2 linked regions of the Oryzias latipes genome follow. The protein of the gene in region 2 interacts with the protein of the main gene of each other region in a pairwise test. Links are inferred from orthologs where the notes say so. Each region holds a gene or a part of one and is shown on either strand. Other genes may lie near its edges.

Evidence for each region.
Region 1: the proteins of ywhag (region 2) and epb41l3 interact in binary tests that used the Homo sapiens proteins (3 or more experiments, as listed by UniProt). The link is inferred for Oryzias latipes from reciprocal best matches to the Homo sapiens genes YWHAG and EPB41L3.

What each region holds. Positions count from the first base shown.
Region 1 is NC_019875.2:4,944,822-4,948,471, forward strand, and holds part of epb41l3 (band 4.1-like protein 3), read right to left. Parts: intron 1,657-3,650; 5' UTR 1,646-1,656; coding exon 1,493-1,645; intron 655-1,492; coding exon 511-654; intron 1-510. UniProt on the Homo sapiens protein: Tumor suppressor that inhibits cell proliferation and promotes apoptosis. Modulates the activity of protein arginine N-methyltransferases, including PRMT3 and PRMT5.
Region 2 is NC_019871.2:9,989,317-9,993,624, forward strand, and holds the start of ywhag (14-3-3 protein gamma), read right to left. Parts: upstream 2,886-4,308; 5' UTR 2,729-2,885; coding exon 2,642-2,728; intron 25-2,641; coding exon 1-24. UniProt on the Homo sapiens protein: Adapter protein implicated in the regulation of a large spectrum of both general and specialized signaling pathways. Binds to a large number of partners, usually by recognition of a phosphoserine or phosphothreonine motif.

The DNA of each region.
Region 1 (3,650 bases), on a different chromosome or scaffold from region 2:
ACGCCATACTAAAATGTTCGGCTGGATAGGTCTGGTACTGCTGCCATTTCTGTTCAGTGAAGTTAGCTTGCAGTTGTGAGGGGCTGTAAAGTAGCAGAAGAGACTGCAAACAAAGGGATGATAGGAAATAAGCAGAGGCTTACTTCCTCTGGTTTATGTCGCCAACCACAAATCAGAGGGGAATTTCTGATGAACTAATGCCGCTCTGCAGAAATTATGTCCTAGAAAACGACAATATTTTTGAAAATAGATCAGCAGAGGATTGGAGAGGGACTTTAATTGCATCTGTTTCCAGAAAAGACTCCAGACCACCAGTTTGAGCCAAAGAAGAACGCTCTGTTCGCTGCAGATTGCCTTCAGGTCCCACAGAGGAAGAAGAGGATTCAGATTTTTGTGTTAGGACTGGTTTTATATGCTAGAATCAGAACAAAACAGGATGATGCAGAAACGGTTTTTTAAACATCTATGGCTCTATGAGGGATTTGTTTTTATTGAAGAGCCAGAAGTCACCTCCACATCCACTGTGTAGTCGGAGCCGTCCAGCAGGGCCACTTTACACTGCATTATCTTCACTTTACGGACTCCCCTCAAAGGAGACTTGGACAGACGACTGGAGGACGACCTGTGGGACACCTGATCCTCTCTCTGCTGCTCCTGAAAGCAGAAAACATCATTAACCCTTTACTTATAACCCCACTGTGATGATTCTTTTTTGGAGACTGAAAGGGTTTTAAACAGCTCTGCAGTACCCTCACCTGCAGCCCTCGCCCGTCACTTTCTTTCAGAAGAAACACCAGTTTCCTCACATTCCTACCCAAGTAAAACTGAATCCAACCAAGCAGATGAGATCAGAAGTTCAGCACCATTATGTCTTTAAGCGAAAAATCTAATTTTCCACCTCAGTGAAAACAAAGCCGACCCTGACCGGCTTTAACCTGAAAAAGAGGCTTCAGACGTTTGTTCTTCACATTCACCAGGAGGATCGAGTGTTACGCCCTGCTGCAGATGTTCTTTTGCTTCCATGGTCACGTCCCCCACATCATCTAATATAGAGCTATTCTGCTGGTTCATTCAGGCACGGACGCTCTCTGCAGTTATAGCACTTGTAACTAAAGACCCGAAACCCTCAATGGACATCTGCATGATCGCAAGATTTCTTCACAGAAAATGCGTTAAATGAACATAGTGGCGGTGTGACACTGCGGAGCTGCAGTCAATGTCCTTTCCTTATTCTGATGCTAAAAGCAAAGAGCACTGACCGTAAGACAAAGAGTTATGACATTCAGAAGGACCTCATGAAGAACTACTAATGAGGTCTTTCAAAAAAGACAGTATGCATTTAGAAAAAAGTTAATCAAAGTTAATTGGGTCAACAAAGCAGCCAAAACACATTCTTCATTTCTCTACCATGTAAATGCTACAGAAAGATGGGGAACGGCGTGATTTGGAGGCCATTGTGTCAGAACCGCCGTGGAAAGCTCTGCGCGCTGACCTGTTCTCTCTTGGCCGGCGTGCTGTGTCCGGCGGCGGCGGGGAACTTCTCGGGCTGGTTCTGTGGTGAGGTCTGCTCCTCCGCCGCTTTAGATTTCTCCGCCTCCCTGTTCTCCTGCGGCTGCTTGGACTCCGAGCCTGATTCAGTCGTCATGGCAAATCACACTGGAGGAGGAACACAGAGAATCCGAGCGAGTCAGCTGATGGACCACAGGGTCAAAAATTCTCTTAAGCCGCTGATTATAAAGGGCAATGCTGATGAGATGCTTTAAAACTGATTAGACTCCGATTCTAATTTTACTTTGCTGCTAAAATAAGACAAAATAAGAGCAGCAATAGATGTTTTCCCAAAAAACCCTCTTTTGTCTTTGCAAAATTGTGCTAAAATCACCAAGCATTGGAGATCAAGCTGAAGAAAAGTCAATTGCTTGGACCTGTTCCTCATATTGGATCTTCAATTGCACATAAAAAAAAAAAAAACATTTAACAACAAGTAGCCAGAAAATATTTGCTCTTACTAGCTAACTTATGTGTTTAAGTTAGATTTAAAAAACTTTTCTAAAAGGGGGGTGTCATGTTTCACAGCTGTAACGAGGAGTCACATGTCTTTCATGAGCTAAAATAATCAGAATACTACCTCCCGTCTCCCAAGTATTTACACACAAGAATTTAAAGTATTCGAGCAGAACGCTTCTTCCCAGCCTGACCTTTACTTCTGTGAATAGCACACGCAGCAATGCACAGGAACAGATGCCGTCCACAGAGGCACAAACCGGGCCGTGAGGAAAAAGCACCTTCTGACTGCTGCTCTCGGTGATGACGGATTGGATGAACCTGACTGGGGGCCCCGAGTGGGAGCAGGAGCCACAGGGTCAGATCTTGGGATGTTGGGTTGGGAGGGTGGGTGTGTGTTTTTGTGCTGGAGCTTGTAGTGTGGATGCCTGTCGTTCTGCCGCTGGCTTGTTTCTCCCTCAGCTCTATTTATAGGGACATGTTTACCGCAGGGTGGGAGGATCTGTGACTTCCAGCCGCAGCTGAGGACAGCAGCCTCTGAGCCAACACAACTGCAGAGGAAGGGGATCCCCAAAAATGCTAGCATGTTGACGAAATGCAGAAAAGAACTCGAGTGAATAAAAAAATGTATCTACAAGATGTAGAATTATGCATAGTCCATAACCTCTGCATGCCTCAGCTTTATTTAACAAGTGTGATGAATAACTCCAAACGGCTGCTGAAAAAAGCTGCAACTGAAAGTCATTCATATCCAGAACATCGCCCATCTGAAGGTTAACATTTGACAACAGATTGTTTTCATTTAACACCAAATTTTGTTACATTAACAAGGATTATAGCACATAAAAAAATGACCCAGAGCAACAACCTGCTGGAAACTTCAATGTAGTTTTGGTTCTAAGAAGCAATAACTCAATAAAAGAAGTCCAAGGGTCAGTGAATGCAACATCCTTATCCAGCTCACGACGACAAAGAAAACTGCAAAGATCGTCAATTCTACAAAACACACCAAACTAGAAACAACTTCATTGAATCCAGTGTTGCAAGATCCACATTGCAGCCTCGACGTTTACAAAAACATATTTCCCAAGTCAAGGAAAGCACTTTTAAAAGGTCACTAGTCTGTGCTTCTCCAATATTGGGCAATGCGTGTAAAATCTGCAGCCGTCAGCTGACAGAAAATGGCGACTCATCCAACCTCTGCACCTCCACGGAAACAGGAACCATGGACTGAGGAGAGGAACATCATAGTACCATAGAAATGGAAAAAGAATACGTTTAACCGCCAGTGGCAGGCACCCTTCACGAGCGCGCACAACAGCGCAAACAGAGGGCTTGTGTGTGAGCTGGCACAAGAAAATGCATTCACATTCAATGCCTCAAATGTAGAGATGATGGAGCCAACGGAGCTCTGGTTTAGGCAGAGAACTGCTCCCTTATAGACATTCATTTCTAACTTTCTTAGCCGGTCACAACTTGTGGATTGCTTAAGACCCACTCCAATGGAAATGATGTTTTTGGTGTTTTTAACGTGTTCTTGTGGCAATTGTTCTCACGGTGGAGGACATGTATAAAGAAAATTAAGCTAGAAATTGCATTTCTGAGTATTTCTTTATTCAGATAGTGAGTCGGGAGCAGACGGAAAA
Region 2 (4,308 bases):
CAGGGCCTCGTTCAGCTCTGTGACCTGGAAGAAGGAAGGCGCAAAAGGCTATAATTCATGCAATAGAATTTTGACTAAGAAAATAAATCTTTCACGAAATATTAAAAAAGGGAAGGCTTTTTTCTATCTTTTAAAAACTGTTGAAATAAATTTGCTAAGAACAATCTGTTATAAAACAGCTAACTCATCTTCCCCTTCCAGTCTGATTGCAATGACGGCAAATCACTCTATAGGGATGCACTTAAAGAATTTCTCCTGAGGCCCACAAACTACATTTGTAAAGCAATGAAAGAAAACAATGGAATCATTGCACAATGACAATTAGTTTGGCTCATCCGGAGAAAGGATCCATCCTTCTATCATTCGGTCAGTGTCGTCTGCAGTGACGCGAATGAGTGAGATTGGGCTTGTCCAATTCCTAGTTTCCATGGCAATCCATTCATTTAGACATCAGTAGCTCCAGCTGCCACGTGTACATCTAATGCTAGCTAGTGAGAAATTATATTGTACTTAGATTGCTCCAGTGAGGGGGGGGCACGAGAAGGATGGAGACAGAAATGTTCCCACAAGGACTCAAGGGCAGCTGCAGTGTAAATGAAAACTGTCACTGCACGTGTCCCACTGACCTTCTCTTCGGCTCTAAGTGACCTTTTTACCTGTTTTAAGCTCCGTGATGTGACATCACTCTGACTCGGACAGATAATTTTGGATCTGGATGGATCAGTATGACTGCACAGAGGTCATACCACTCTGGGTAAATGATTGGAAGAGGCGCTCTGTGCTGGCATAGATCGATGGAGTTTTCAAAAACGGCTGTTACATATGCAGGAAAGACACACTGATATTCAGCTGTACTATACCAACGCTTTCAATTTTTCTCTGTTCAGTCAGAGGGGCGTAAAGATGGCACACGTGACGTCACTAAATTGGCACAGATGGAATTGCCTTCACAGGGCCTGTCCAAAAATGCACACGCAATGATCCGATTTGACCGCAGGCGACAACTGTGAGGCTTTCGCTATGAAATGAAGCAGATTCATATTGATCTGATAATAATTTTTGTAGAGCGCACGAACAGAGGAGCACTTAAAATTTAATGATTGCAGCGATCACTGCTGGAACTGCAGCTATGCTCGGCGTACATCAAACATTTTGGCGTTCAATTGTCATTATTGAAGGGTTACAACAAGGTCATTAAGAGTGGCCCATCCGTTATTTGAATGACGAAGGAAATATTTGCTGGTGTCAAGAAAAAATTTTTTTTTTTTAACAATTGGATTGATTTTTCTGGTTTCACGCTGCTGGTCGAAGCTGATTTGTGAAGGCCATTTCTTTAATTGATAACCACGAAGAGCAGCGTTGCATTTTTCATGAGGAACACGAAGGTGACAGCCTCTCATTTGTCATTTGTGGATGCAGTGGCAAGGGATTCCCTTCGAATAAAAGGGCACCCCTCACCGCCACCCCATCCCACCTCTTCTTCAAAAGAATCAAGAAAGGCAAAGGAATCCCTCCTCACCACCTGCAACCAGAAACCCTTCATGGCAAACGATCCAAATAGGCTCTGATGTTCTACAGGGGCATTAAGACACAATGTTCCTCCCGTGCCGGGCTCTTTATCTGGGCATGGACTGGCAAGTCTGGATGCTGCTGGTTTCACTGTGAGCTGGTGTGACACAGCAGTTCTTAATGCCCACCGGTGCATCCGGTGTCAAAATTTCTTAAGGGCCCCAAAGGAGAGAGGGAGGGGGAAAGAGGAAGAAAAAGCAGACAAAGACTTAGTCCTGAGCAGCCAATAAGAGCTGAGAGAGCTAATGTGTGGCAAGCCAGCCATGTCATCCTCTTCCCATCATATATTGCACTGCTCAATCAGGGTCGTCCCCCTGAAATAACTTTAAATCGCCCCTGGATTTCAGCCCTGACACACTCAGGACGGACACGAGCACAGACGAGAGTCTAAAACGTCTGGGATAGAAATAAGTCTCTGCAATATGACAGCAGATATTCTAGTGCTGCCTCCTATTTGATGAAATGAAGGATTAGAGAGGCTTTTTCCTGAGGTGATCATGCTCAGATAATGCCCTTAAGCCTTGTATCAACATGAGCAGTTGTGGGTAATTATTATCGTTATAATTTAAGTGATAAGTATAAGAGAATGGGGGATGGGGGTGGAGGCAGCTCACATGATGTAGCAGAGGCTCCAACTGTATGAATTCAACATAATGGAGGGAGAGGAGGTGGGGTACTACAAGAGGGGGGGGGGGGGGCAGTTAATGGAAGTGAGCAAGGCCATTATATGATGAGCGGCAGATGATGCATAGTGGGGCTTGCATGCATTTCATTCTAATACCCTTTCAATAAAATGTACAACCGACAGAGGCACCGCCCAAACACCGGAAAGTCTGGACCCGACTGCTGAGTAAAAAATGAAAAATAATTTTCCAAAAAAAAGAGGACGTGAGGTGTCAACATTGCCTCAACTGTGGAGCAAATTATGATTAAATTCGAATTTTTTGGATCAGTGCGCCGGTAAAATTGAGCCAGCGTGCGCGCAGATTTACAGCCGTGGCGCGTTTTTACGCAGACGCAGCAGACTCACCATCACTCACACGATTTTCATCCTCTCTGGAAAGTGACTTACCGACTTCATAGCAGCTGCCATGTCATCATACCGCTCAGCCTGTTCAGCCAGCCTGGCTTTCTGCACCAGCTGCTCGCGATCAACCATTTTCTTCTATGATATTTGGTTGCCTAGTCAAGCTTATTCGGGTGGCTTATGTGGGTAAAATAATCGATATTTGAAATCGCAATGCAGTGAAACTTAACACGAGCCTTCTGCTGCAGCTGCTCTCTGCTGTCTGACTGAGCTGCGCGCAGACGGGACACCCTCTCCTCACCCCCACCCTCTCACATTCCTCCTCCTCCTGCTTCTCCTCCATGGGCTGCGTCATCACTCGGGAAGGTGGGTGTCTGTGCCAATGATGTAACGCTCCGTACATGGGGGATAGTGGGCCAGGCTTGTGGGCATGGCCGTGTAAAACGGCTGTGATTTCCAGGGCTTCAGCTTTCCGAAAGCCCCCTTTGTTTCCAAACCATTGACTGTATAGGAAGTGTGATGTTACTTAGAGCAAATTACTTGCTTCCGGTTCCAAAGAAATCCAATCAGTTTTTTTGCTATACAGTAATCCCCCCGTATTCGCGGGGGTTACGTTCCTCACCCCCTGCGAATAACAAAAATCCGCGAATGATTGACGCTGTTTTAAAACTCCCAGAGCCAGAGCCTCTGCAGAGTCAGAACCTTTTTCTGCCGTTTGGGTTCATTTCCAGAAGCTGGAGATGATGCAGGGTGTTTGGATGGCATCTTAAACGCGTAAACAATACTTTACAGTAAAGTACAGAGTAAATCGTTTTTCAAAATTTGCGGACTGAGCGCTGTTCTGTGCCTCATGCTTCTGACGTCACGTCATCTGTGGCCACCCGCGAATGGGCGGGGCGCGAATATTAAACCGCGAATGGGCGGGGGATTACTGTACAGCCGTAGAAGTGTTGGAACAATGCCAGTAATGCTACATTCACAAATACAACTGCCACCGCGCCATGGGGAGGCTTTGCCAGAATCTCACGCCACTTTCCGATTATTTAAATATTGTTGGCAATTTCTTTTGGGTTTTGTTTTTCATTTGAGTTCTGAATTTGAACTAAATCAGAATAACTTTTTTCTCATGGTGATTTTATATTTTGCTGAAACATCCTGATCTTGAGGAAGAAACTGCTTTTTTACCCCCACTATAGTTTTGAAGCTGAACACAGCTATGGGTTAACTTGAACAAAAGTCAAAGTCTTGAAACTAGATGTTAATTCTGTTACATAGACAAGGTTTAATTAAAAGGCGACCTTTGCCTTTTTTGCTCATAGTATCATGTGTTTGTCAGCATTCAAGCTTTAAAGTCCCACTCCAGTCATTTTTAATCTATTTAAAAAAAAATTTCCAGTGTTTTTTTAATTATCATTATACTGTTTTGGGGCAAAATAATTAAAAAAAAAAATTCTGTGTCCGTTTCTAGGACATAGTTTCTGCAGAGTGGCAGTGGTTCATTAGAAGTTTGCTCGGTGTTGGGTGTGGTTACACTTCTCCCACTAACTTACAACCCCAAGCTAACGCTAGCGGTGCAACAAAAATGGCGAGCAATATTGGAGCTATTCAGCCGTACCGTCTCTTGCCAGATTCCATCTCAGACGAGAAAAAAAGTAAAAGTCAATGGATGTATTCGTCTGCAAGTAGATGCATTGCAATAGCGCAGAGCAGGG